Linked DNA regions of Sus scrofa. The protein of the gene in region 4 interacts with the protein of the main gene of each other region in a pairwise test. Links are inferred from orthologs where the notes say so. Each region holds a gene or a part of one and is shown on either strand. Other genes may lie near its edges.

The links.
Region 1: the proteins of RNF11 (region 4) and UBQLN2 interact in binary tests that used the Homo sapiens proteins (3 or more experiments, as listed by UniProt). The link is inferred for Sus scrofa from reciprocal best matches to the Homo sapiens genes RNF11 and UBQLN2.
Region 2: the proteins of RNF11 (region 4) and ubiquitin-conjugating enzyme E2 N-like interact in binary tests that used the Homo sapiens proteins (3 or more experiments, as listed by UniProt). The link is inferred for Sus scrofa from reciprocal best matches to the Homo sapiens genes RNF11 and UBE2N.
Region 3: the proteins of RNF11 (region 4) and SMURF1 interact in binary tests that used the Homo sapiens proteins (3 or more experiments, as listed by UniProt). The link is inferred for Sus scrofa from reciprocal best matches to the Homo sapiens genes RNF11 and SMURF1.
Region 5: the proteins of RNF11 (region 4) and WWP2 interact in binary tests that used the Homo sapiens proteins (3 or more experiments, as listed by UniProt). The link is inferred for Sus scrofa from reciprocal best matches to the Homo sapiens genes RNF11 and WWP2.
Region 6: the proteins of RNF11 (region 4) and RNF168 interact in binary tests that used the Homo sapiens proteins (3 or more experiments, as listed by UniProt). The link is inferred for Sus scrofa from reciprocal best matches to the Homo sapiens genes RNF11 and RNF168.
Region 7: the proteins of RNF11 (region 4) and RABGEF1 interact in binary tests that used the Homo sapiens proteins (3 or more experiments, as listed by UniProt). The link is inferred for Sus scrofa from reciprocal best matches to the Homo sapiens genes RNF11 and RABGEF1.

Annotation. Positions count from the first base shown.
Region 1 is NC_010461.5:48,946,708-48,950,861, forward strand, and holds the start of UBQLN2 (ubiquilin-2), read left to right. Parts: upstream 1-1,354; 5' UTR 1,355-1,681; coding exon 1,682-3,556; 3' UTR 3,557-4,154. UniProt on the Homo sapiens protein: Plays an important role in the regulation of different protein degradation mechanisms and pathways including ubiquitin-proteasome system (UPS), autophagy and the endoplasmic reticulum-associated protein degradation (ERAD) pathway.
Region 2 is NC_010443.5:26,024,423-26,028,607, forward strand, and holds the start of ubiquitin-conjugating enzyme E2 N-like, read left to right. Parts: upstream 1-1,385; 5' UTR 1,386-1,757; intron 1,758-4,185. UniProt on the Homo sapiens protein: The UBE2V1-UBE2N and UBE2V2-UBE2N heterodimers catalyze the synthesis of non-canonical 'Lys-63'-linked polyubiquitin chains. This type of polyubiquitination does not lead to protein degradation by the proteasome.
Region 3 is NC_010445.4:6,040,379-6,043,878, reverse strand, and holds part of SMURF1 (E3 ubiquitin-protein ligase SMURF1), read left to right. Parts: intron 1-879; coding exon 880-1,081; intron 1,082-2,687; coding exon 2,688-2,772; intron 2,773-3,264; coding exon 3,265-3,364; 3' UTR 3,365-3,500. UniProt on the Homo sapiens protein: E3 ubiquitin-protein ligase that acts as a negative regulator of BMP signaling pathway. Mediates ubiquitination and degradation of SMAD1 and SMAD5, 2 receptor-regulated SMADs specific for the BMP pathway.
Region 4 is NC_010448.4:160,908,914-160,912,889, reverse strand, and holds the start of RNF11 (RING finger protein 11), read left to right. Parts: upstream 1-1,176; 5' UTR 1,177-1,713; coding exon 1,714-1,836; intron 1,837-3,976. UniProt on the Homo sapiens protein: Essential component of a ubiquitin-editing protein complex, comprising also TNFAIP3, ITCH and TAX1BP1, that ensures the transient nature of inflammatory signaling pathways. Promotes the association of TNFAIP3 to RIPK1 after TNF stimulation.
Region 5 is NC_010448.4:17,070,983-17,074,482, reverse strand, and holds part of WWP2 (NEDD4-like E3 ubiquitin-protein ligase WWP2), read left to right. Parts: coding exon 1-90; intron 91-1,000; coding exon 1,001-1,121; intron 1,122-1,456; coding exon 1,457-1,561; intron 1,562-3,056; coding exon 3,057-3,153; intron 3,154-3,342; coding exon 3,343-3,415; intron 3,416-3,500. UniProt on the Homo sapiens protein: E3 ubiquitin-protein ligase which accepts ubiquitin from an E2 ubiquitin-conjugating enzyme in the form of a thioester and then directly transfers the ubiquitin to targeted substrates.
Region 6 is NC_010455.5:133,624,280-133,628,345, forward strand, and holds the start of RNF168 (E3 ubiquitin-protein ligase RNF168), read left to right. Parts: upstream 1-1,266; 5' UTR 1,267-1,519; exon of another isoform or gene 1,520-1,754; intron 1,755-1,841; 5' UTR 1,842-1,881; coding exon 1,882-2,182; intron 2,183-4,066. UniProt on the Homo sapiens protein: E3 ubiquitin-protein ligase required for accumulation of repair proteins to sites of DNA damage. Acts with UBE2N/UBC13 to amplify the RNF8-dependent histone ubiquitination.
Region 7 is NC_010445.4:16,373,796-16,377,837, reverse strand, and holds the start of RABGEF1 (rab5 GDP/GTP exchange factor), read left to right. Parts: upstream 1-1,242; 5' UTR 1,243-1,358; intron 1,359-4,042. UniProt on the Homo sapiens protein: Rab effector protein acting as linker between gamma-adaptin, RAB4A or RAB5A. Involved in endocytic membrane fusion and membrane trafficking of recycling endosomes. Stimulates nucleotide exchange on RAB5A. Can act as a ubiquitin ligase.

The DNA.
Region 1 (4,154 bases), on a different chromosome or scaffold from region 4:
TGCCACTACTATTGTGTGCCTGCCAATTGCCATCTACAATTTTTTAGTAAAATAATTTCTCATCTTTTAAAACTGTAAATGCAAGGTATACTTACGGAGGCCATCAGAAAAAGTTAAATTTTATTTTAAAAAGATAGTTTATTCATAATTTGAGCACCAATAACCACCATTTTCATATTGGCCTACAGTGTTCTTGATTACTTTTATACATACAGTCTTCAAAGACAGTTTACACATGCAAACTGTTCTAAAGTAAAAATATACTTACTGTGTTTTTTGGTACTGAACCATACATGCTTGTATAATTTCTAACTGCATGGAAATATACAAAGCGAAAATACTCTGTAATTTCCTTGTAACTACTGTTTATTTCATATCTTCCTTTAAAGATACTTCATGTCATACAAATTAACCACCCATTTTTAAACATAGTGGATATTATTTTATTTTATGGTAATATCATAATATATCTGACCAATCCTGTGTAAAGAGACACTGATTATCCTTTTTAAATATTTATTTTAAATGCTGCAATGAGTGTAGATTTTATACATATGCATTTCTGCATTCCTATTTTGTTATTTTCATAGGTGAGGTCTCTAAATTAGACATTTCCAAACAGAGGTGGAACTATATAAAATGTTGATATATATATGTTAAAATCATCTTATGATTATAACAATTTACATTTCAATTGGCATAAGCGTGCATTTTCTCAGCTCTCTCAAAGATTTATTATTATTTTTCATCTTTGCCAGTAAAAGAAGAATTTCCTTGTTTTAATTTGAATGTCTTTCATTACTAGTGAGCTTAATCATCTTTTTATATGCCCATTTGCCATTTGTACTTCTTTTGTAAAATGCAGGATCCTGCCCAGCCCTCTTCTCTTCACCCTAGGGTGAGAGGTGGGTTGGGGTGGGTGTTAATCTTTTCCTTTTTGCTTTGTCAGAGTTCTTTATTTTTAATCTTTTACTTGGGTTGGGTTCGATTCAGGCTTTCATTCTTTCACTTCACTCTAACGGAACATCTATATATCTATGTATAGATATATATGTATATCTTACGAAATACATGTATATTTTCTCCATTAGTCTTTATTTCCCTTTATAGAAACTGGCTCCCGTCCCCCTTCCGTATTTTTTTCTCTTGTCTTCTCTAGTCTCTTTGTTTCTTTCTCCTGTTTTCCTCTCTCTTTGTTTCTCACTCTCTTTCTCTCCCTCATTTTTTTTTTTTTCCAGAACAGAAGTTTTTAATTTTGACCGAGTCGAATCTATCATTCTGCGCCTGGCGCCGCGTCAGCAGACGGGGGCAGGGAGGCGAGAGCCGAACTGGGGGGAGGGGAAGGGGCGGGGAGGAGCGGGCGGAGCGGCTGCGGGAGCTGCTGGGAGAGCGCGGGGTGGGGGTGGGATCACACGGCGGCGGCGGCGGAGGCAGCGGCAGCGGCAGTGGCGGCGGAGGCCCAGAGACCTGAACGCCGAAACCTCGGTCCGTGGCCTACACGGAGCCCTCTCTCCATCTGAGGACCAGGGAACCGCAGTCTTCAACACAGAGGTACCGTGCTCCGCTCTCCCGCCCGGCCCGGCTCAGCCTGCTGCGGCGGTGCCTCCTTCCTTCCTTCTTCCCTCGCTCTCTTTCTCGCCCGCCCGCGCCTTCCCTGTCTGCCTGCGTCACCGCGGCCGCCATGGCTGAGAACGGCGAGAGCAGCGGCCCCCCGCGCCCCTCCCGCGGCTCTGCTGCGGCGCAAGGCCCGGCCTCTGCCCCGGCGGAGCCTAAAATCATCAAAGTCACTGTGAAGACCCCCAAAGAGAAAGAGGAGTTCGCAGTGCCCGAGAACAGCTCAGTCCAACAGTTTAAAGAAGCGATTTCGAAACGCTTCAAATCCCAAACCGATCAGCTAGTGCTGATTTTTGCCGGAAAAATCTTAAAAGATCAAGATACCTTGATCCAGCATGGCATCCATGATGGACTGACTGTTCACCTTGTCATCAAAAGCCAGAACCGACCTCAGGGTCAGTCCACACAGCCCAATAGTGCCGCGGGAACTAATACTACCACCGCGTCGACTCCCAGGAGTAACTCCACACCTATTTCCACAAATAGCAACCCGTTTGGTTTGGGGAGCCTGGGAGGACTTGCAGGCCTTAGCAGCTTGGGCTTAAGCTCGACCAACTTCTCTGAGCTCCAGAACCAGATGCAGCAGCAGCTCCTGTCCAGCCCTGAGATGATGATCCAAATCATGGAAAATCCCTTTGTTCAGAGCATGCTTTCAAATCCTGATCTGATGAGGCAGCTCATTATGGCCAATCCACAGATGCAACAATTAATTCAAAGAAACCCAGAAATAAGTCACCTGCTTAACAACCCAGATATAATGAGGCAGACCCTCGAAATCGCCAGGAATCCAGCTATGATGCAAGAGATGATGAGAAATCAAGACCTGGCTCTCAGCAATCTCGAAAGCATCCCAGGTGGCTACAATGCTTTACGGCGCATGTATACTGACATTCAAGAACCCATGCTGAATGCCGCACAGGAGCAGTTTGGGGGTAATCCGTTTGCCTCGGTGGGGAACAGTTCCTCTTCTGGGGAAGGTACGCAGCCTTCTCGCACAGAAAATCGAGATCCACTACCCAATCCATGGGCACCGCCACCGGCTACCCAGAGTTCTGCGACCACTAGCACAACAACTAGCAGTGGCAGTGGATCTGGCAGTAGCTCCAGCAGTGCTACGGGGAACACAGTTGCTGCAGCCAATTATGTCGCTAGCATCTTTAGCACCCCAGGAATGCAGAGCTTGCTGCAACAGATAACCGAAAACCCCCAGCTGATCCAGAATATGCTGTCTGCGCCCTATATGAGAAGCATGATGCAGTCGCTTAGCCAGAATCCAGATTTGGCTGCACAGATGATGCTGAATAGCCCTGTGTTTACTGCAAATCCTCAGCTGCAGGAGCAGATGCGTCCACAGCTCCCTGCTTTCCTGCAGCAGATGCAGAATCCAGACACACTGTCAGCCATGTCAAACCCAAGAGCAATGCAGGCTTTAATGCAGATCCAGCAGGGGCTACAGACATTAGCTACTGAAGCTCCTGGCCTAATTCCAAGCTTCACTCCAGGGGTGGGGGTAGGGGTGCTGGGAACAGCTATAGGCCCTGTAGGCCCAGTCACACCCATAGGCCCCATTGGCCCCATAGTCCCATTTACCCCCATAGGCCCCATTGGGCCCATAGGACCCACTGGCCCTGCAGGTCCCCCTGGTTCCACTGGCTCTGGAACCCCCCCTGGGCCCACCGTGTCTAGCTCTGCACCCAGTGACACGACGAGCCCAACATCGGAATCTGGACCCAACCAGCAGTTCATTCAGCAAATGGTGCAGGCTCTCGCTGGAGCAAATCCTCCGCAGCTGCCGAATCCAGAAGTCAGATTTCAGCAACAACTGGAACAGCTCAACGCAATGGGGTTCTTAAACCGGGAAGCAAACTTGCAGGCTCTAATAGCAACAGGAGGCGACATCAACGCAGCCATTGAAAGGCTGCTGGGCTCCCAGCCATCGTAATTATACTTCTGTACCTTGAAAAAATGTATCTTATTTTTGATAATGGCTCTTAAATCTTTAAACACACAGAATTGTGCTTTACTTTCATTTTGATTCCTTTAAATCTGTCTAGTTATAAATCTAATATGCATTTTAAGGTGGAGTCTTTTCCTCCCTCTTTGTTTCCTTCCTCCCTTCCTCCTTCTCTCTTCCCTCCCTTCTTGCCTTCCTTCTCTGTTTTGAATGGTGGGAATCAATGCTGTTTCACTCAAAGGTGTTGCATGCAAACACTTCTTTATTCTGCATTTATTGTGATTTTTGAGAACTGGTATCAACCTTTACGGTTGGGTGAACAAGTTTTGTCCTACAGATGTCCAATTTATTTGCATTTTAAACATTAGACTATGATAGTAATTTAATGTAGACTGAAAATATTAAAAGCAGAAACAAATTATTTGAAACTCTAATTTGTGGTACAATATTGCTTATTGTGACTTTGGCATGTATTTTTGCTAGCAAAATGCTGTAAGATTTATACCATTCTTTGATCTTTTTTGCTATATTTATATGCAGTACAGTAAGCACAATTGGAACTGTATACCTAGAAATGTTACAACAG
Region 2 (4,185 bases), on a different chromosome or scaffold from region 4:
TCTTTGAACATTTCTTTCAAGGTATGTCTTTTGGAAACAAATTCTCTCAGTTTTTGTTTGTATGAGAAAGTCTAAATTTATCTTTCACTTTTGAAGAATAATTTTGTAGGGTACAGAATTCAGGTTGATTTTTTTTCCCCTTCTGAACACTTTAAATTTCACTCTGCTCCACTTCCATGGTTTCTGAGAAGTTGCATGTAATTTTCATCTTTGCTCTACTATAAGTAAGGCTTTTTTCCTCTCCTCTGGCTTCTTTCGAGATTTTTCTTTATTTTTGATCTTCTGTAGTTTGAATATGATATGCCTAGGTGTAGTGTTTTTTGGAACTATTCATGATTGATGTCTCTGACATTAGCATTTTACATTAATTTAAAGAAAATTGCTGTCCTTATTGCTTCAAATATTTCTCCTATTACTTTCTCTTCCTGGTATTCCCATTATACATATGTAACACTTTTTTATAGTTGTCTCACAGTTCTTAGATATTATCTTTTGGGTTTTTTTTCCATTTTTTTTTTCCCTCTTTGCATCTCTGTTTTGGAAGTTTCTATTAACATTTCCTTAAGCTCAGAAATTCTTTCCTCAGCTGTGTCCAGCCTACTGATTAGCCCATCAAATGCATTTTTTTATTTCTGTTACAGTGTTTTGGTTCCAGCATTTCTTTTTGGTACTTTCTAAGAATTTCCATCTCTCTGCAGACATTGCCCATCTGTTCTTGCATGTTGTCTATTTTTTCCATTAGCCCTTTGCATATTCATCATATTTATTTTACATTCCTGGTGTAATAATTCTAACAACATTCTTGCCATATCTGAATCTATTCCACTTTATTATTATGTAATGCTCCTCTATATCTCTGATAACTTTTATTGCTCTGAAGTCTGCTCTGTCTAAAATTAGTAGAGTTACTCCTGAATTTTTTTGACTGGTGTTAGCATGGCATATCTTTCTCCATGCCTTTATTTTTAATTTACGTATGTCTTTATTTATATATGCATGCATTTGGTCACACCTACAGCATGTGGATGTTCCTGGGCCAGGGATTGAACATTGCTCTGGCTCTTCAAATGGTGTCTGTCTTTTGCCTTTTAGTATGCCTTACAAGTTTTTCTTGAAAGATGGACTTGTACTGAGTAAAAGGAACTGCAGTAAATAGGCCTTTAATGATGTGGTGGTTAGGTGTGGGGGAAGGGAAAATGTTTTATAGTTTTATGATTAGGTGTCAGTCTTTTGATGAGCCTGTGCTGCTGGGCTGTGAACGTCACACGTGCTTCTCTGTTGTTGTGGGTTTTTTTTTTTTTTTGCCCCACTCCCCCCCCTTAATTGGAACAAGATGCCTAGAGGAGCAGGAGTTGCGTATTTCGCTTCCCCAGTGTAAGAATAGAGCCAGCTGGGGCTGGGCATTTCCCTTCCCCTAGGTCAGTTAGGCACAGATAAAATCCCAGCAGGTTAGGCCCTAGAAAATAGCTTCTCCTGCAGGCGGACCTTGTTAAGAAGTGAGTGCTCTGGCACATTTCAAGGTGGTTCCTCTTCGGCTCCTTCTTCAGGAAACACAAGAAGATTTTCCTCTCAGATCTCCACTGTGAGAGTCTAGTAGGGCTCCTAGAGGCAAAGCTCACAAAGTGTGGATTCCTCTGGAATATTTAATTCTCCGATTTGTCTACTCTGCGGCTCCAGCCACCTGTCAAATACAGTTCAGCTTTCCTGACTGCGGCACTGGTTCCTGAGGAGGTTTCTGCTTGTGGGTTTCCGCTCTGGTAAGTTGTGATTTTCTGTGTCTCCCTGTCTCTCTAATGTGAGGGCCCGAGATTTGCCCTGAGACCTTCGTTCTCTCATGGATTTAAGAGTGGGTGATTTTTCAGTTTGTTCGGCTTTTTCTTGTTTTTAGAATGGAGGAATGACTTTCAAGCTCCTTCCAGGCCAGACCAGGAACTGCACCCCTTTTCCTTTTTATAAAATGATACCTGAGTGATATTTTCTGATCCAGTGTAGAATTTAGTGAAAACGTCTACATTCTGGTCATTGTTGCTATATTATTCCCTTCCGTTAATCCTTTTGGGCTATAATTGTTTCCCCAAATACTTTTTAGCTGTTAACAGTCTAGTTCTTTCCTCTGTTTGTTTTTCTTCAATTCCACTCCCACTCTGTCTTGGAGTGCTAACAACCAGTACCACCCATGTGTGCCAGTTGGGTCAACATTTAAACAAGGATGTACTGTTTACACTGTTGTTTCTAACATTCTGGTTGCAAACACCGCTTTGTGCTTTGTGAATTGAATTGGTGACAGGTGAAACTTAGGCTGATGGCAGAGAATTTGGGGTTATAAATGATGGTTCGAAGCTAGATTTATTTCGTTTTCTCTAAACCTATTAAATCTGTCCAGGTTGAAGCTCACTTGTATTGTATGCACTCACATTACGTAGAGAAATGGCTTTCAGCCTTGCCTTTGTAATAGATTCACTGGCTCTATTTCTATTTAATTGGTCTAGATGGGTCCTGGTATCAGTATTTCTGAAAGTTCCTTGAGTAATTCTACCATGCAATTTGAGGTAAGTCCATTGGTCTGTAGCAATGGTCAGCAAAACTTTTCTTTAAGGAGCGGAGAGTAAATATTTTAGGCTTTGAAGATCATTTGAAGATCATATATTCTCTACTGTAATTACTCAGCTCTCATGTAGCCGCCACAGGCAAATGGGCATGGCTATGCTCTAACAACTTCCTTTCTAGAGACCAAAATTCTAATTCATATACTTTTCATGTGTCATGAAATATTCTTATTCATTTGATGTTTTTTTTCAACTATTAAAAAATATAGGAGTTCCCGTTGTGACTTGGCAGTTAACAAACCTGACTAGGATCCATGAGGATCCCTGGCCTTGCTCTGTGGGTTAAGGATTCGGCGTTGCCATGAGCTGTGGTGTAGGTCTCAGACACGGCACAGATCTGACATTGCTGTGGCTGTGGTGTAAACCAGCAGCTGTAGCTCTGATTCAACCCCTAGCCTGGGAACCTCCATATGCTGCGAGCGCAGCCCTAGGAAGAACAAAAAAAAAAAGTACAGATTGGTTTTGTCTTACAGGATTTACGATAACAGTCTGCAAGTGGGATTTGGCCTAGGGACTGTTGTTTGGCAGTTCCTAGTTAATGGTTTATTTTCTTCACTGCTTCAATTTGGTTCCAAAAGAGAAAATGTTTCCTTAGTTACATCACTGATAATATCTTCAATGAATCCCAGAACTGACTACTTATTTTAAGTCAGTTTATCAGAACATTTTTAAACATGGCAATGCATTTCCTTATTAGGCTCTGAAGTTGTGGCCATTGAGATGCTTTTATCTATGAGTAACAAGCATGGCTTAAAAGGCTTTCAACAGTAGGAAAGGTATTATCTCATTAAAATAGAGAGAATTGCAGGGCTATTGTTATTTGAAAATGTCATCAGCCCAGATGTTTTCCATCTTTCATTCTACTATCCTCAATATTAGTCCTGCCTGATGTCTTGCCTCATGGTGGCAAGATGGCTGTAGTAGCCCTGGGCATCACATGCAGACTCACAACATCCAAAAAAAACAAAGAATAATTCCTTCCTTGAATTTATTTTGAATGTGGGGCAGTCTATTTTTAGACCAAGGCCCTCCTCCTATGTAAATCTCCCCTTAAGTCTCAAGGACCAAATCAGGCCCTGGTGAAGGAATTGAGATTACCATGATTACCTATCATGATGCTTGCCTTGGCTTCAGGATCTGGTCTGCCTTTCACAGGTGGCCCCAGGATCCCAGAATCAAATCAGGGTTCTGATAGCAAAGGAAGAGGAAGAAATGGCAGTGGGGCAAAAAAAAAAAAAAGTCTCACACAGAACTAGATTGTTAGGATTAAAAAAAATAAGGCGGCTGTCTCCTAAACTCCTCATTTCCATTTGTTTATTTACTTCCTTTAAAAGACCATTAGACAATTGTTGAGTACAATTTTCCTGAAAGATAGCTTATTGATTTTTCACTCAAGTAGGTTACATTTTGCTTCAGCCTTCAAAGACATTTCTATTACTCCCTTCAGATTACATTTAAAAAGGAATGTATCCGATTTTGGCTTACTTTGTTCTTTTTCTAAACCTGTACCACGTTGTGTGTGTAGCATAAAAATGTCCATGTCAAAAAAGGTTTAAAAAGAGTCATCACTTTTTTCTTT
Region 3 (3,500 bases), on a different chromosome or scaffold from region 4:
AGCCGCGCAGCCCGGTGTGGGGAGGGGGGCAGCCGCCGAGTGAGGCAGCCGTTTCCCCACAGGCCTGGGGCCCCGGGACCCCAGGGGAGCAGAGGCAGGGCCAGGGGACGACAAGGCCCCCGGGCCTGCTGGGCGGCAGGGCTTCTGGATAGTTCCTGGGACACGGTTCTCCATGGTCTGCGGCTTAGCCTGCTTCGCAGGATCACCAGCAGCCGAGGAGTCACCTCGGGCAGGGAATTGTCAAGACCAGCTTCTCCCGCCACGTCCGCTTGCTGCTTTGATTCTGGCTAGTTTTAGGCTCACAACAGAGTGTCACTCACTGTCCTTTGTAATTCTTCGTCGTGTGGACAGAGCAACTCGCTCATGTCTGATGGGTCTCTGGGGCCAAGGGGCGCGGGTCTTCAAAACTGTACCCGTCTTTCTGCCCCGAGTGCGGTGCCAGGACCCTGGGTCCCCAGGCGCCTCCCCGGAGGGAGTGGACTTTTTAAAGTAAGTCTCAGGAACAAGCCCCGGTCCCTTTTCTTAGGACTTTAAACCCCACGCACCCCTGAGTGTCTGCAGGGTCATGTGAGGCGCCCCTTTACAGGTGGCTTCGTGCGGCCTTTCCGAGGCTGGTTCTGTGGTCCTTGCTCCGCCCCAGTGCCACGCAGACACACACACAGACTTGGTTGCAGGGAAGCGTTGCATCGGTGGCTACACCAGAGTGGTGGGGGTGCCAGCCAGCGGGGAGGTGCAGACGCAGTGTGGGCTCTGGGCCTGCCGGCTCGTCAGCATGTGTCCAGTCTGTGGGGATGTGGTGTGTCACTCTCCGTGTCCCGGGAGGCTGGCGGCCTGCTGGTGTGCGCGTGGGGAGGTAACCTGCCTTGGCCGCCCTCGCAGCTGATCATCGGCGGCCTGGACAAGATCGACCTGGACGACTGGAAGTCCAACACGCGGCTCAAGCACTGCGGGGCTGACAGCAACGTGGTCCGGTGGTTCTGGCAGGCGGTGGAGACCTTCGACGAGGAGCGGAGGGCCCGGCTCCTGCAGTTCGTGACCGGCTCCACGCGGGTCCCCCTCCAGGGCTTCAAGGCCCTGCAAGGTGACTGACAGGGCGGCGGGGCTGGGTGTCCTGGGCTCACCAGGAAACCCCGTCGGGTGGGTTCTTTCACGAGCTGCTCGGCGCTGCGGGGGTGCTGGCCTGGCCGAGACCCTCTTCCCCCCACACGAGCCGTGGCCGCTCGGTGGCCATTCTCCCCCTGCTCCCAGGGCTCGAGGCTCTGCTCTCCTTTGAGGGGTTGGGTGAAGGTGTCTGCACTCTGTAGACAGGCCACCTTCCCCAGGGTCTCTAAAGCCACAGCAGGCAGGTTACCCCGGGTTGGCAGCAGTGGTGCCCACGCAGGGCTGGGCCAGCAAAGCCTGTGGAGCCAGGGCCTCCCCTCCCCCACAGAATGGGGCACAGAGGGCGGGTACAAAGAGCGACAAGGCCTTGGGGACAGGAACCCGTTTTAAAGGTGCATTACAGCACAGCAGGTGAAGGATCTGGCCTTGTCAGTGCTGTGGCGCGGGTTTGATCCCTGACGTGGGAACTTCCACATGCTGTGGGTACAGCCAAAAAACAGAGCGCGCCGAGATTCATTTCTGAATCTTCTGATAGCAGCTCTCTCCGTGCTGTCCGAGGTACAGGGGGGAGAGCCCGAGACAGTCTGCTGCTGCCGTGCAGTCGCTGGCTCCCGGGTCCTCCCCGGCCCTCCGTTTCCTCATCTATACGCGTGCACTGCTGATAGGCCCCCGTCCCCTCTCGCGTCCCTTCCCGCCCCGACGGGACGCCCAGGTCTGGAGTTGGGCTGCAGAAAGGGGAGGGGCTCTCCTGCTGCTGCTTCCGAGGGCCGGTGGTCAGCACAGCCACTGCGAAGTCCTCGCAGGCTCCTCCCGGCCCTGCGGTTTGTAAAACCTGATTCTTGTCCCTTGGGAACCTCGTAGCTGGAAGGAGTAAGGTGAGAACATTACTGTGTTGGAACTTAGTACACACGGCTTTGCATAGTAAGAGTGGGAACAGACGCCGTTCACGTAAAGGGCAGTCCCTCTGGACTCATTTTAAGGCCTCTTAGCAGGAGAGAACTTCCTTCCCATTCCTGGGGCTTTGGTCTCAGGCATTTGTGTCTTTTTCTTTTGCCTCTGCCTGGGGAGTTTTCCCGACTCTGTCCTGCTTTTCTTGTGACCCTGCTGTCTACTGCCAAGAGTGGGCCTGCTCGCTTAACAGTGCTGTAAAGAAGAAAAAAAAAAAAAAAATCAGGAGTTCTCGTCGTGGCTCAGTGGTTAACGAATCTGACTAGGAACCATGAGGTTGCGGGTTCGGTCCCTGCCCTTGCTCAGTGGGTTACGGATCCGGCCTTGCCGTGAGCTGTGGTGTGGGTTGTAGACACGCTCAGATCCCGCGTTGCTGTGGCTCTGGCGTAGGCCAGTGGCTACAGCTGGAGGGTTCTCGCCCATCTTTGCTCTGCCTGCCCCTGTCATTTTCTAGAAAGTCTGATATTAGTGACTTCACAGCCATTGTAGGCATATCCTGAAACCCGGCCTTGGCCGTGACCCCCACAGCCCTCGGGCAGGACAGCCGCCCCGACGTGGGGGCCTCCGTGTGGCCGCAGGGGCGCAGGGGGCCCGGGCTGGGCCGCTGAAGCGCATTAACTAGAATGTTGCTCCGTAAGGTTCTACAGGCGCCGCAGGGCCCCGGCTCTTCACCATCCACCTGATTGATGCCAACACGGACAACCTGCCCAAGGCCCACACCTGGTAAGGACACGGCACGCGGGGACCCCGGGGCCCTTCTGAGGACCCGGCTCCTCCCGAGACGTGACTGTGTCAGAGCCGCCCCCGGCCCGGGGTCTGTGCGCACCGTCGGGCGGGAACAGGGCACCCCCTGGTGTGGGGCCGCTGTCTCCCACACCTGACCTTCCCGGGCCCCGCCTCCAACACACGCGCCTCGTGTGTGCAACGTGTTTCTTCGTTGGCTGGCGTGTCGCTCGTGGGTTGTTCCCTCGCGGTTTCCGATGACATCAGCCCCGCTCACTGCGGGGACCAGTCATCGAGAAGACGGCTGCTTCCTAATGCTGCCGAGCATGGGGGGGACGGAAGGGGTGGCTCCTGGGGGGGAACCAAGTGTGAGACGGACGGCACAGGCCCGAAAGGGAACCCTCCCCGCCCCCATGCTGCTACCTTGTGGCCGAGAAGGCTCTGCCCCTGCCAGGCGCCCGCGGTGACTCTGGCCTTGCTGTCCTGTTGCAGCTTTAACCGGATCGACATTCCACCTTATGAGTCGTACGAGAAGCTGTACGAGAAGCTGCTGACGGCGGTGGAGGAGACCTGCGGGTTTGCCGTCGAGTGAGGGGGGAGGCAGCAGAGGCAGCTCCCACCGCGGCACCGTGCGCAGCGGGCCAGGCCCTGCGCTCTGCGCAGCCCGGGCGAAGGCTCGCCTCCCTCCTTTCCGCTGGGGGAGCGAGGGGACGGGGGACTTGGGTCGG
Region 4 (3,976 bases):
TTAAGCAATGTGCCAGGCCCTGCACAGAGGAGAGACAGATGATTCAGCTTGATCAGACTGTAATAGAGAAAAGCTCAGGGAGAGGCAACTAGGCAACCAGACTCCACGATTAGGAGAGGCTTCCCAGTGGAACCAAAGTTGAGTCCAGGAAGGACAAGTGGGGATAATGTTTAGCTTGATGGGAGGTATAAGGTCAGAAGTGGGCGGAAGTGAGTTTCTGTCAGAGAAACAGTGTGGGTAAAGCCTTAGCGTTTTAACTTTTAAAAGGTAAAAGTTATCCCTTCTAGATAACTGGACTACTTTATTTAGGCATCCTAGAGTGTAGAATATGTCAGGGAACAATGTCTAATGAGATCGAGGAGGTAGCCAGATTTGTAAACCATTTAAGAATTAATGCTTAGCCATAACAGCATTGGGAAGCCATTGAAGATTTTAAAAAGTTTAAATTCCCCCTAGGGACATCAGCTTTACATTTTAAAAAGAAAACTGGACTGAACAAATAGTGGATTGAATAGGGGCAATGGTGAATGCAGGGGGAAGGGTTCCAAGTACAACAATAGAAATATGATGGTAACTTGTACTATGGTGGTGGGAATGGAAAGAAATAGAGCATTCAAGAACTATGTCTAGATACTCATGTTGCAACAGAACAAAGGGTGGGGGAAAAAACCTAATTGTAATGTATACATGTAAGGATAACCTGACCCCCTTGCTGTACAGTGGGAAAAAAAAAAAAAAGAAATAGAGCATTCAGTTAGTATAGTTGGAAGAAGAATCTTTCTGGCTGTGATATAGGAGGATCAGGAAGCGATTGGGGAGCTAGGAAAGTTTCCTTAATGAGTCTGGACTTTATTTGAAGGGATAAATGGTAAACCTTTTAATATGTTAATAATGGGAGTGATCCATTCAAATACGGGTTCATAAATAGATAACTAGGCAGAAGGTCGTGAGAAGACTGACAAAACAGCGTACAGGTGTGAAGTGAGGCAAGCGGGGAGGGAGCAGTGGATGTGGGGAGGCAAGGAGACCCAAGAGAGCTTTCAGAGGTTTCGGTCCCCAGCTAATTGTCGGAGAAGCAGAGACTGACGCAGCCCGGGGAACAGCTGTTGGGAACCGGGTAGGCGGGGCCGGCGCCGCCTACACCTCCCAACGCCGGGGGCGGGACCAGGGCACGCACGGCGGCGTGACGCAGGGCCGCAGCTGGCCTCGTTCTGGCCGCCGCCGCCGCTTTGAGGCGGTGTAGGATGAGGCCCGCGGCTGCGGCTCCGGCGTCGGCGGGGGCAGCAGCAGCTGAGGCAGCAGCTGAGGGAGCCGCGACGGCCGCGCCCCCCCCTCCTGACCTGGATTAGGCCCAACAGCTTCGTGGCCGCCGCCGCCCCGCGGGGGGGCGGGGTGGGGAAGTTCTTCGTCTCCCCGCCCCCCCCCCCCCCCGCCGCCGCCGCCGCCGCCGCCGCCTCGTAGGAGGCAGCCGCCGCCTCGTAGGAGGCAACCGCCGCGACCCCAGCCGAGCCCGCGGCCCAGCCTTAAGCCCCCAACCCCGGGGGCTGGCATGAGCGGCCCTTCGGCGGCGCCGGGGGGCGGGGGAGCCGCTGCCGCCTGAGCCCCGGCCTGCCACTCGACCCCACGTCGCTGACCGGGGCTGACCGCAGAGCGTGCGAAGGACCCCGCCGCTGCTTTCTTCCTCCCCTAGATCACACACCCCAACCCCAGAAGATGGGGAACTGCCTCAAATCCCCCACTTCAGATGACATCTCCCTGCTTCACGAGTCTCAGTCCGACCGGGCTAGCTTTGGCGAGGGGACGGAGCCGGATCAGGAGCCGCCGCCGCCATATCAGGTACGGAGGGTGTGTGTGGGGAAGGGGGGTGCGAGGAGCAGAGGCAGCTCTGGCCGAGGTCGTGGGGGCTTCGGGCTGTCACTGCCCTTGGTTTCGGTAAGACCTGGCCTCAGGGGCACTGACACGCTTAGGACTGAATTTGAGGGCGACTGCTCTTCACTTCCAGAAATAGGGGGACTCTTTCACCTCGATGTGGGGATGGTACTTCTGTCCTTGAGTTCTGAAATTCGGATATATGATTATGTCCCCTTGGCCGGTGGCTAGTGGTTAGCTTGTGGAGTTTGGAAGTGACATTTTCCTGCCTTTATGTCTGAGTCGTGGAGTCTGAACTGTGAGGTTTGGAGACGATTGCCACATCGCATCGCCAGGTGCGATGAATTATGGGTTGTGGATAGGTGGTTAACCCCCACCTCATTTATACTTCCAAGTGTGACCATCCTTTCCTCCCTACCTTGTTTGGATTAATTGGATCTGGTAGGATTAATTGGATCTGGTAAGCATTCATTTCTCCCTCAGCTCGGGAGATTTTCAGGTAGTTTTTTTGGTTCGAGCAGCACCAAGGATTACTTGTTTATATATATAGTAAATTAAAAATTTTAATCCTTAATCCTTTTGCTCCACCCCTATGACACACCTTTTAAACGCGCTGACTTAATAGAACGTGATTATCTTGAACTCTGGAAACCTTTAAACCTTACTTGAGAAATACCTTCTCTTACTTGTGGTTCTCCCTTTGTATCAAAGGCTTCTCTCCCAAACAGCTTCATTGCCTTTTGCACAGCAGTCAGCAGCTTCAGCTGTCTTTACACAATTAGTAAAGAGCTAAAGACCTCTTTAGAAAATTCAAAATAGATACGTAGATACTATAATACATAATATTTATGTATATATATAAACCTTTTGTCTAGTTTTTCAGTTTTAAATGATGTTGATTAAAAACTTTTTTCCCAGAAGGACTTGGATAGTTAAGTGCCTTAATTTTTTTCCTGAACAGGGTTTAGTTTTCTCCTTTGTTGTTTCATGTGGTGACATCATTATCTAGTGTTGTTCTTTTCTCATACCTATGTAAATCAGTGCCTCATCACACCAGAAAAACCTGATCACATATGCTAGTTTCCTGAATAAAACCCTTCGGAAACCTTTCATATATACCAGTAAAGTCCAGTCTTACTGTGGCATACAGAAACCTCCATGGTTTATTTTTCACATTCATATTCCTGGCCTATCAAATACAGCAGTCTGTTCACACCTCTCTGCCTTAGCTCCTTCCTCTGCTTGGAGCCCTTTCCCCAAGGTCGGCCAGGTGAACCTCTGATCCTCTTTGAGAACTCATCTGTATCTGAAGTCCCTACATTCCCCTCCCTTACACCTTGAATCCATCACTCCCTTCTTTGTGCCCCCGCCCCACAACCCTCTACACTTCCATAAGCAGCATATAGAATACTTAAGTGTTATCCTTGTTTAGTTAGATGTGTGTCTCATTCTTGAGGCATTTCTCTCTTCCAGTATAAGCTGCATGCAGGTAGGGTCCCCATGGTTCCTGTGTGTTGTATGCCCACCGTCTGGCTCAGTAACTGTGAAATAAATGACGACTGTAAGCCTTTGAGAATAGAGACAATGTCCCCAATGAATGAATTAATGAATTTGAATTCAGTATTAGTTTTGTAAGTTTATACACCCATTTCTTCCAAAGAATTCTCACAAGAGAAGTCTTAAAAAATTCAAAATAAATCTGGATGTTGTTCTGAATCTTTGAAGCAAGTACATTGTTTATATTTCACTCTTGGTTTTCTTCATAAATGCTATAGGTCATTGTGCTTATTTCAGTTTCATAAGCATATTTTCTTAGATGTTTGATATTTATTTCAAAATCTCCTGTGTTCCCTAGCCACCTTCCAGGAAAGTCAAATATCTTTGACTTACTGCCCTCTTTCTCTTATGTCCTTATGGTAATACAGTGTTAAGGATAACTTTTTTAGAATTTGTGGAGATCGTATTTGCCTATTCGAGGAGGATAAGGTAGAGTTTTTGTTGGTATCATGAAGAAACTTTTTTTGAAACATGTTATTTGTGACAGTGGGAGTTTTTTGTGGTTGCCCCTTCTTGAAATGAATAACCCAGATACTGATATGCAAATTTA
Region 5 (3,500 bases), about 140 Mb from region 4:
GGAGATCCTGGGCAAGGTGACGACGCACGAGCTGAAGGAAGGCGGGGAGAGCATCCGGGTGACCGAGGAGAACAAGGAAGAGTACATCATGTGAGTCTCAAGCGCTGGGGGCTGAGGGGCTGGGGGGCTGCGAGAGGGGAGCAGAGGCCCAGCTGGCTGCAGAGAGAGGGTTTCCTGCTCTTGTCTCTGGGTGCCCTCTTCAGCCAGCCCCCCACACGTGGCCCGTGGGTCGCCAGGGGTGGAAAGAACCTCCCACTTGGCCCTGACCGTAGGTGGCTGCTGTGGCCAGTCAGGGACTGACCCTAGTGAGCAGCTGGAGCCCAAGCCCAAGGCCCTCTGTTCCCCTCCTGGGTTCTCTGTCCCCCAGGTGGTGGACTTCAAGGCCGCAGGGCCGGGGAGTTCCTGTTGTGGCGCAGGGGAAACAAATCCAACTAGGAACCGTGAGGTTGGGGGTTTGATCCCTGGCCTTGCCCAGTGGGTTAAGGATCCGGCGTTGCCGTGAGCTGTGGTGTAGGTCACAGACGTGGTTTGGATCCCGCGTTGCTGTGGCTGTGGTGTAGGCTGGCAGCTACAGCTCCGATTCGACCCCTAGCCTGGGAACCTCCATATGCCGCAGACGCGGCCCTAAAAAGACAAAACAAAACAAAAGGCTATAGGGCTGAATTCCTTTGATGAGGCATAAAATTTAGATGGCGCCCTCTTCTTTCTCCTGATTCTGTCCAGTTGACTTAAATCCATTATCTCACATGCCCATTCATGGTCGTGCCTTTTAACCTCCACATGTCAGCAGTAGTGGGAGGAGGAGGAGGAGGCGATTTCAAAGATTCAAGTGCCTCTGGGTTCCGGTGAGGTTTTAAAGGCTGTTCCCTGGGGCTGGCAGCAGCCCTGGGTCTCCCCGCCGGCCTGAAGTCAACTCTCAGCTGACCCCTTGCTGCCAGCGGTGGGCTTCCCCGCCCCACCCTGCCGCTCCTGAGCCGTGGCTCTCGGGCTCTGGTTTTAGGCTGCTGACTGACTGGCGTTTCACCCGGGGCGTGGAAGAGCAGACCAAAGCCTTCCTCGATGGCTTCAACGAGGTGGCCCCCCTGGAGTGGTTGCGCTACTTTGATGAGAAGGAGCTGGAGGTGAGAGCTGGGGTAGTTGGGACCCCGAACCCCTGCCTCTGGGGCAGTCCTGCTCTTTGCTAGCCTTGCTGGGAACCCACAGCGACTCACCAGGAGAACCCCGAAGTCTAGCTGGGGGGCGGCAGCAGGCCAGTCACATTGATTTGGGTTCACACCTGCCCTTACCTGGGCCCTGGTTTGCAGGGGGTCCACCTTACGACTTGCGTTGCCCGCACTGTTAGGCCTGCCGGCAGAGACAGTCGAAAACGTGTTTCATCTGGCAGGGAGTGGATGAAGCTCCGTGTGCCGTGGGGGGTGCTGGGCTGGGTGGCTGACTCCCGGGCTTTCTCCGGCAGCTGATGCTGTGCGGCATGCAGGAGATAGACATGAGCGACTGGCAGAAGAACACCATCTACCGGCACTACACCAAGAACAGCAAGCAGATCCAGTGGTTCTGGCAGGTGGGCCCTGGGTCTGGTCCCTGCCCTCAGGGCAAGGGTCTGGGCGGGGGCGTTTTCGCAGTCCCCACAGGAAGCGAGACCTGATTCCACCCCAAGCTCGAGGATACTTGTTGTGTTACCGCCTCCCTCGTCTTTGACCCTCTCCTCACCTCCCTCAACTTGCAAAAGGAGATGAGACACCCAACCTTGAGACAAAGGGAGCTGTGGCATCTGGGTTGTGGCCAGTGTGGGTGGGCGGTGGGTGGCCCAGCTCCAAATGCTGGAATGCAGTGGGGGCTCATTATGTACAGGAAGGAAAGCTCTCGTCTGTCCTGTGGGTCCCTGTCCAGCCAGGTGGCAGGGGCAAGCATGAGGTTGGCTCCAAAGAAACGGAATGGGCTCGTTGTCTCAGATACAATGAGTCGATTCCTTTGTGTGTGTGGGTCCAGTCGTTGTCGTCATTATGAAGTATAGCATATACAAAAAAGAACAAGCATGTGTAGGTTTTTTGTGGCAGTGAAATTCCTATGCTGTAAAATTCACTGGGTTAAGCATTTTAAGGTGTACAGCTCAGTGGATCTGACGTGGCTTTTAACAGTGCTGTGTAGCCTTCATCACTGTCTAATTCCAGAATATTTCATCCCCCATAAAAAGAAACCTCATACCCATTAAGCAGTCACTCCTGTCCTTAGTATACTTTTAAAAGCAGAACTTGGGAGTTCCCATTGTGGCTCACAGGGTTGCAGACCTGACTAGAATCCATGAGGGCGTGGGTTCAATGCCTGGTCTTGCTCAGTGTTTAAAGAATCTGCCGTTGCCGTGAGCTGTGGTGGAGGTCGCAGACGTGGCTTGGATCCTGTGTTTCTGTGGCTCTGGTGTAGGCCTACAGCTACAGCTCCAATTCAACTCCTAGCCTGGACACTCCCATATGCTGCGAGTGTGGCCCTAAACAGCAAAAATAAATAAATAAAATCAGGGAGTTCCTTTTGTGGCTCAGTGGTAACAAACCCAACTTGTATCCATGAAGACAGGGGTTCAGTCTCTGGCCTTGCTCAGTGGGTTAAAGATCCGGTGTTGCCAGGAGCTGTGGTGTAGGTCACAGACGCTGCTTGGATCTGGCATTGCTGTGGCTGTGGTGTAGTGTGGCAGCTACACCTCTGATTGAACCCCTAGCTTGGGAACTTCCACTTGCCACAGATGAGCCCCCCACAATAAATAAATAAGATAAAAATAAGTAAACAAATAAATAAAAGCAGAACTTGGAGGGAGGAAGACTGCCTGATCCAAAGTGTCCCTGAGACCAAGCGATGTGACATCACCTGGTGGGAAAGGCCAGCACAGCCTTTTAGAGAGAATGGCTTTGGGGTTGCCCAGGTGGCAGTGGTCAGCTCCCCCTCCAGCCCGGGCTCCGAGTTCTCCGTCCCAAAGAGGGGCCCGGCTCAGTGGAGAGTTAGAGGTCAGGGGAGGTACTGGGCCAAGCGGCTCCCTGACGCTGCCTTGGCTTGTGGAGCTGCAGGTGGTGAAGGAGATGGACAACGAGAAGAGGATCCGGCTGCTGCAGTTTGTCACTGGGACCTGCCGCCTGCCCGTTGGGGGCTTCGTCGAACTCATTGGTACATTTCCCCTTGGCCTGCGGGTGCCCTTGGGGGGGTGAGGACAGCTCAAAGAAGGGGGCAGGACCTAGTGTCTTCCTGGAAGCAGATCAGTGGGAGGGAGGCTGAGCCTTCAGCGGTTGGAGCCGGAGGGTCCTGCCTTCGGAAGGGACCATCCTGTGACACACAGTGCATTTTTCCGGACCACAGGAAGCAATGGGCCACAGAAGTTTTGCATTGACAAGGTTGGCAAGGAAACTTGGCTGCCCAGGAGCCACACCTGGTGAGTGTGTTGGTTGGAGGGGAGGTGGCAGGAACCTGAGGCCGGGAGAGCGCCAGAAGGCAGCCCAGTGGGCGAGGTGTCTTCA
Region 6 (4,066 bases), on a different chromosome or scaffold from region 4:
CCCAAGAAATAGCAAAAAGACAAAAAAAAAAGGTAGAAAGGAGAGACACCCCCCCCCCCCCCGTCATGATGACTAAGCAAAGTCCAGCCACCTGCCCCTAACCACCCCTCCCTCACGCATCTGCTGCAGTAAGCTTGCTTCCGCATCTACTACCTTGCCTGACCTCACTCTGGTCCGCCAAGCAGGAGCTCAGAAGAGGTAGCCCATAAAAACTTTGTGAAAGACTTCTTCCGGGCTCAGACTCTGGAGAGCAATCTCCTCTGAGCCTGCCGGCATAATAAACGTGAATTCTCCAACTTTCCCAGTGCTCACTTGGTTTCTCCCTGGGTAAAAGAGCTGAAACACTGCAGCCACAGGGCTGTCGCTAGAGCTGATACGCTGCAGCGCAGGGCTGTTGAGCAGCTGCCTTAACAAAACCAAGTGGGAAAACATTTCAAAATGCATAAAGTTAAAATATTTTCCTTTTGACTTCTTTTGTAATTTTGATTGGTCTAGACTGAAATTAAACAATAAAGCAGTGCCTTATAATTGATGCACATGTTGGCTAAGCCCCAGGATCCTGCCAGTCCTACAGTTTGTTTCCCAAGTACCTGTTAAATTGTAGCAAGTTTGCAGATTCTTTGACCACAGCCTTTCTCAGAAATCATCCTAGAGATGCTTTTACAAGAACTCTGGAAAGCGACCTAAGAGGCTTCCTTACAAATGAAAAGAAACAAGGGTAGTTTGAGGAGTACTAAGGGAAGAATTTAAAAATTATTGTCAAGCTTTTTTGGGGGGGGCGCACCCACTGCACAGAAGAGTGACAGGACCACGGATCGAATCCAAGCCACAGGTAAGAACTATGCAGCAGCTTCAGCAATCTGGGATCCCCAACCCACTGCACAGGGCCAAGGATCAAACTAGCCTCCGCGGCAAACCGGACCCTTAAAGCACTGCGCCACAGCGGGAACTCCATCGGCTTTTAATTTGCCTTTAAGTTTCACTTTTTCTGACAAGAGACCAACCTTGCGACATACCCTGATTTCTGCAGCCTCTGGGAGCAGAAATCAAGAGGGAAATACTAAAGTGCAGTCAATGTGACGACGCAGGGTCTGCGAAGAAAGGACTGCAACACACCGAGAAGACCAGCTCTGGGGGGGCGGGGCGCGGGGCTCGGGTCGGGCAGCGCGCGCAGACTCGGAAGTCCCGCCCCAATGTTAGCCCTCTCTACCTTTGGTTGGTTCTCTAGGTGGGAGGGGCTGTTTTGGCGGGCAGTCGTGACGTCACTAGCCCTTGTCGGGTTGCTACAGCACCGCGCCAAGGTTAGGCTTTTGGGTAGATGGAAGAGAGGGAGGGGCGGGCTCAGAGCGCCCGGAAGGGCTCGCGCGCGGCCCCCGACAATGGTAAAACGGAAGTCCTACTCCTTCGGAGCTCCTCGTCCGGGCGGAAGAAGCGTTCTTCCTCTAGCGGTGGCTGCGTAGCTGCGCGCCTCTGCGGTCTGCGGCTTGGCTTCCGGGAGCTACGGGAGCATCCTCACCTGGTAAGAGAAAGGAGGGGAACTTGGCGCGTGCCTCCTGCGGGGGCCAGAGAGCCCACCATCCGCCCTGCCGCAACGGCTGTTAATGCTGGGAGCAGTCAAGGTTCATTTGTTTTCATTTCGGACGTTTGTCTTAACATGGACAAACACACTTCCTTCCACGGTCGTACTGTTTACCTGACCCTCAGAACACTTTTTTGCTTTAAAGACATTTGATGTTCCCAGTCTCTGAATTCTGGTAGGCTACTGGGCATAAAATTTAAACACAAAACTTAATTCGCTTTCTCCGAACTTGGGCTGTAGATGAGGATTCTTTCTCTTTCAGGTGTTGATGTTGATTGAATATGCCTTTTTAGCATATTAAAATGGCTGTACCCAAGGACGCCATCCCTTCATTGTCGGAATGCCAGTGCCAGATCTGTGTGGAAATTCTATTTGAGCCTGTGACACTCCCTTGTAACCACACGCTGTGTAAACCATGCTTCCAGTCGACTGTCGAAAAAGCAAATTTGTGCTGCCCCTTCTGTCGCCGCCGAGTCTCTTCGTGGACTCGACACCGCACCCGAACAAATTCTCTTGTCAACATGGAACTGTGGAAGATAATTCAGAAACACTATCCAAAAGAATGCAAGCTTAGAGCCTCTGGGCAAGAATCAGAGGAAATTGGTGAGTAAAAATCCAGCTTGTTCATTGTCTAAAAACCAAAATCTTTTAAAAAGCGAATCATCACTAGTCTTTTTTTTTTTTTTCAAGGATAAAAAAAGAAAATCTGGGTTAGTATTTGTCCAAATTTTTCACATCTTTGAGTTTAATGGGCCCTAAAATGTTGGTTAAGGTCACAATGGCAAGATTTGGTTCATTGTTTTAAGGCATAGGCTTAGTTTGGTCGGTGTTTGTTGGGTTAAAAATGAAAAGAAAACCAAAAAAAAAAAAAAGAAACAAAAGAATTACCTACTAGGGTCTTAAATTGTGTCGAAAGTTATATAAATAGTCACAGATGAGCAACAGTCAGTATGGCAGCAGCAGAAGTAAGGAAACTGCTGGATTCCTGTGTTAATATTTTTTTTATTTTCAGTTACTTTTCTCTAACTTTCTTGCCTATACATCTCCATTCATTTAGTTCTTAAGCTTTCAACAAGCCTAAAATAGCTTTCTGTGGCCAGTTTCCTCTAGTTCAGTCATTTTTATTCAAAGCCCTCCACAGTGTGGACTTAACAACTCTTCATTTTGCCCCCAGACTTTAGCGGCTTGACCACTTATGTGGTCATTAAGCCCTGCAGTGTTTCTTCTCCAGGCTTAAATGTGATGTGGATGCTCTGGTGTACTTGCTTTTTTTGGGAATTCTTTTTATTATGGTAAAATTTGCCATTTTAACCATTTTTAAGTGTACAATTCAGTGTCATTAATTACTTTCACAGTGTTTGGAAACTGTCACCACTGTTGCCAAAACTTTCATCACACCAGACAACTTCTTTAACCATTAAGCATCCCATTCTCCTTACTCCATCCCACTCCTGCTTTTCGGAGTTTCTAATCTCTGTGAATTTGCTTGTTCTAGATAATTTATGTAAGTGTATTCATACAGCGAATGATCTGTTGTGTCTGTTTTCTTTCACTTAGCATAATGTTTCATGCCGCCTTCTTTTTCTTTCTTTCTTTCTTTCTTTCTTTCTTTCTTTCTTTCTCTTTTCCTTTTCTTTTCTTTTCCTTTTCTTTTTTTTAAAGGGCCAAACCTGTGGTATATGGAAGTTCCCAAGCTATGGGTTGAATCAGAGCTGCAGCCGCCTGCCTGTGCCACAGCCACAGCCGGAGCAATGCTGGATCCAAACTGCATCTGCAACCTACTCCACAGCTTGTGGCAACATCAGCTCCTTTAACCCACTGAGTGAGGCCAAGGATCGAACCTGAATCCTCATAGATACTACTCGAGTTGTTAACCCACTGAGCTGCAACGGGAAGTCTACCGCGTTCTATCTTTATCAGTACTCCATCCCTTTTTATGGCTGAATAATATTCTACTCTATGGATATATTGTATTTTGTTCCTTCATCCATTGTTGGACATTTGGGTAGTTTCCACCTTTTGGCTATTTCAATAGTACTGATATGAATATTCATGTGCAAGTGTTTGAATGTGTTTTCATTTCTTTTGTGTACATATCTAGGAGTGGAATTGCTGGATCATATGGTAATTCTATGTTTAGCTTTGTGAGGAACTGCCTGGCTAGTGTTTACCATTAAAATTGCCATTGTTTTCACGAGTGCCTTTAGACTTGGGCTAATCCATATTCTGTTCATTGTGAAGTCAGTGTCTTTGAGGGAAATCTTTGGAGCTCTCAGTTCTTACTGCCTGCCTTTTTTCCCTGGGCAAAACATCTGAGCCACTGCTCTCTAGCTGGAAGCAGAGACTACAGCTTATTTCTCTTTGTTGGAACAGGTCAGTGCATAGGCATGCTAGTTCTGGTCTCCTTGACTCTTCTAGAACTTTTTTTGCCCTATGAGTGGGCTGTAATGAGGGCAGTGGGGTCCCAGTTTCTTCTTGCTGTGCCTG
Region 7 (4,042 bases), on a different chromosome or scaffold from region 4:
AATTATTACCATGTATACCTCACACATACAAAGGAGATACCCTGAGAAAAGGCTTAGAATGCCCACTTAAATACCATTTTCCAATAAAGAAAAAACAGGAAAGGTGTTTGTGTGTGTGTGTGTGTGTGTGTAGGGGAGACCAGTTATGGGAGGTGACCAGGGGAATAAAAATAAGCTTAAGGTTTGTCATGCAGCTCTAAGTCAGTGTCTTATCCATAGTTGAGCTTCTAGTGACCTAAGAGTCATCCTTCTCTCCCAGGTACAGAGGGAGACCCCTTTACTAACGTGATCTCCTTCATTAGCTTCATTTCCTGTACAAAAGGTTAACTTCTGGTTTGTTTTCAGGGCTTCTCTGCTTTCTCAGAGGCATATTTTTGGGTGGCATATTCTGCTTCCCTACAGAATTTAGGAATAATCTGAGGAATGAATCAATCTCCATTTGGCAAATAATGAGCAAAGACTGAGAAATTAGACAACCTGTCCAAGATCAGAGGCAGCATTTAGCAAACCTGGTATTCCAACTTAGGTCTCCCTCCAGACACTGTACTCTAGTATTTTCTTTTCTTTTTTCTTTTTTTTTCTCCCAGTCGTGGCTGCACTTTGTGCCATAGATACCATCCAGAATACAGAGGCAGCCGCTGTCTCCAACATTCCTGAAATGGGAATCACGGAGAACTGGATTCCATTTATGACTCGATCATTAATACTGTGTGACACTGGGTAACTTATTAACCTCTGGAATTCAGTTATGCTCAGCTATAAAACCTGCTTCTAGGTCAGTCACTCTCTTTAAGGTCCTTTAAACTCAAACCACGTTCAAAATCCTAAGATCCGTGTGAAGCTATGGGATTCATTACTTTCTCAGGCAGCCTCATTCCCCACAGACTGCAACTGTCCACTGGCCCAAAGACTTCTCTCCCGCAGCCTTTCCAGTGCCTCCCATTTCGAGCTAAGGATGAGCAGCGTCTCTCTCAGTGGGATTCCCAAATACAGTGGGTGAGGAAAAGACAGGGAAACGCCGGCTTCTCCGTCGGCTTCTGAACGCTCCAGGTCAGGGACCCAGCACTAGGGCTGAGGGCGCCTCCTTCCTCATGCCCGACGGCTTTGTCGCCACTGTCATCCACGCCAGCCTCGCCCTCGCGCCACCCAGGGCAGATGCCGATGGGCACCTACACCCTCCCGGCGAGCTCCGAGCCCCGGAAGTGACGTCATGCGTGCGTGGCGTGCGCTCGCGGCGCCGGGGGCGGGGCGTGCGAGAGGGAGGGCCGGCGTGAGGGCGGGTTGTGGACTGGCGCCGGGACCTACTCGAGCGACGCGGGGAGAGCTGCGGTCCCGACGCGGGTGGAGCAGCCGGCGAGGTACGGGGCGGACGGACGGGACCCGAGGGGGGCGCGGTTCGCGACTCGCGGTGGCGGTGCCGTCCCGACAGGGGCTGCTGGGTCATTGGTCTAGGCTGTCCACCCGGCCGGGGCCATCTCGCTCCGGTCCCTCTTGCCGTCCTTCGTCCCAGCCCAGGGCCCGGTGGCGGGGCCCTGGCCGGTCCCAGGCCGTCGCCGGCCCCCTTCATCCTCTGCGCGTTCGGCCTGCCGTTTTAGGGCGCTTGTCGCCAAGTTGCCCGCGGCCCGGCCCAACTCCGACGGACAGACGCGTCTCGTTTCCTGGCCGCCTCCTGCCGCCTGTCCAGCTCTCGCGGGATGGCTTCCCTCCGACCGGCTCACTCAGTCCAGTCGGCAGAGTACCAAGGGACACCTGTGGTGGTGACCGGCTGGGTCGTGCCTTGGGCTCCTTGGGGACCCGTCGCAGCCCGGCCTGGGCAGGGCCGCCGGGACCTCGGGAACCCGCGTCGGTCTCAGAGAGGGAAGGGTCCGGGAGCTGGGAGGATGCTGTCTTTCGCGGCGTGGGAGCTGGAAGACTGGTCCTAACTTTCGCCCTATGATTGAGGACAAAGTTGTGGGCCTGAGGTTAGGAGCACAAGTCCCTGCTTCCGAACCGTCTTGGAGGAGAGCAGAGGTGATGCTCATCACGGAAGTTTAGTCGACAAGGAGGAGGGACCCAGCCGCTTCAGGGAGTAGATCAGAGTCTGCTGGTGGTGTCTCAACGCTGATGGCCAAGCCCTGTGATTGGGAAATGTGTCCGTGGGCTATGGGGGCTCGCTTTGCTCATGAGCTTAGATGTGAAAATTGGTCAGGATGAGTTTACAGCATCACCTGGGGAGTCGTTTTTTGGATCTGAAGAGTTGTGGCTTTTGTTTTGTTTTTGAGATTAACTCATTGTTGTACCTTTTTCTGTAAACCTAAGGCTGCAAAAGTACACTTACCCCCCCCCCCAAGTCTATTAAGGTTACTAATAAGTAACTTAAGCAGTACCAAGGAAGCTTCCCAGAGGTGCAAGAAGATTTGATTTTTATTCGATCCATTTCATGACAGATAACGTTAGTTTTAAGAGTTACTGATTCTCAGGTGGAAAATTAAGAAGTGTTGAAGGATTTGAATTTTGGGGACCTTCCAAGCCATCATTTTCTTCTCCAGAAAGTAGGCACTTTAAGGGAGAAGGACAGCAGAGATCCTTGCCATAAATGTGAGCAGTGTGAGCTAAGAGAGGTCACTGAGGGGGGACACCCCAAGTGTCTGGAGGGACCGCAGGGAGTGAAATGTATCTGAAAGTGTCCTGAAGAATGAGTAACATTCAGACTAGCAAGATGGGGTGGGAATTTTAGGGGTAGTGGGAATGTGGGCGTGGGGCAACTAAAGGAGAAGAGGGCAGTAACTCCCGGGAGGTGGTTTTTGAAAAGTGAAAAAGTGCAGGGCAGAGCTGTGGTGGCTGATAGGGGAAAAGATGCAGGAGATTCTTGGGGGGCTTTTATCTGGTGATGGCAGGACCAGGGAAGGGTTTTAAGGAGGGTTATTTGCCTGGTTAAAATGGAATTTTATATAAGGCTTACACATAGGCTGCTGTGTGTTGACTGATGAGGGTTGTTCCCAGCATAGTGCTTGATTATGTGCTATTTGTATTTTAATCTTTTCTGCTCCTTAAATGAATTGAATTCTCTTCTCATTTAGTCATTGTGGGAGAGTGTCTGACCCTGCTTACTTGTAAGCTTCTATAAACAGGAATTCTGCCTGTATCTCTTTGCTTCTTAATCCAAGTTGGGCTTTCAGAAGTGTTCCATGAGGACTTGAGAAATCATTGATTTCCTTTTCTTTCTTTTTTCTTTTTTTTCTTTTTGTCTTTTGTCATTTTGTCTTTTGAGGGCCAAACCCAGGGCATATGGAGCTTCCCAGGCTAGAGGTACAATTGGAGCTGTGGCTGCCAGCCTGCACCCCAGCACCAGATCCGAGCAGCATCTGTGACCTACACCACAGCTCACAGCAACACCGGAGCCTTAACCCACTGAGCAAGGCCAGGGATCGAACTCACAACCTCATTGTTCCTAGTCGGATTCATTTCTGCTGCACCACGACGGGAACTCCTCTTTTTCTTTTTTTTCTCTCTATCTCTCTTTTTTCCGTTTTTGAGCCGCTCTTGTGACACAAGGAAGTTCCCAGGCTAGGGGTTGAATTGGAGCTATAGCTGCTAAAGGACTATGCCACAGCATAGTAGGTCCTAAACCTACTCAGCGAGGCCAGGGATCAGACCTGCATCCTCATGGATGCCAGCTGGGGTGGTTACCACTGAGCCACAATGGGAACTCCAAGGAATCATTGATTTCTGATTTTCAGTGGTTGGTTTTCAGAAAAAACATTTTTGATCAGTACTTATTATCTACATATAGAAGAACTAAGATATTGTTTCATTTACTCTTGTCAGTGTTTGACTAGAGAAGTAGAATTTTTGTGTTGACCACGTGAGTTTAATTGTTGGCACATGTGTTTCTATTGGCTGCAAAGTAAACATCTCTAGCAGGTTGACCCATCCCTAAAATGTAGGTGATACCTGTGTAGCATAACATACCTGTCTGCTCTGTGACTCAGAATGGAAATGCTATTAAGTGGCTTCTTAACCCAGCAATAAACTTGTCACCCTAAAAAAAAAAAAAAAAAAG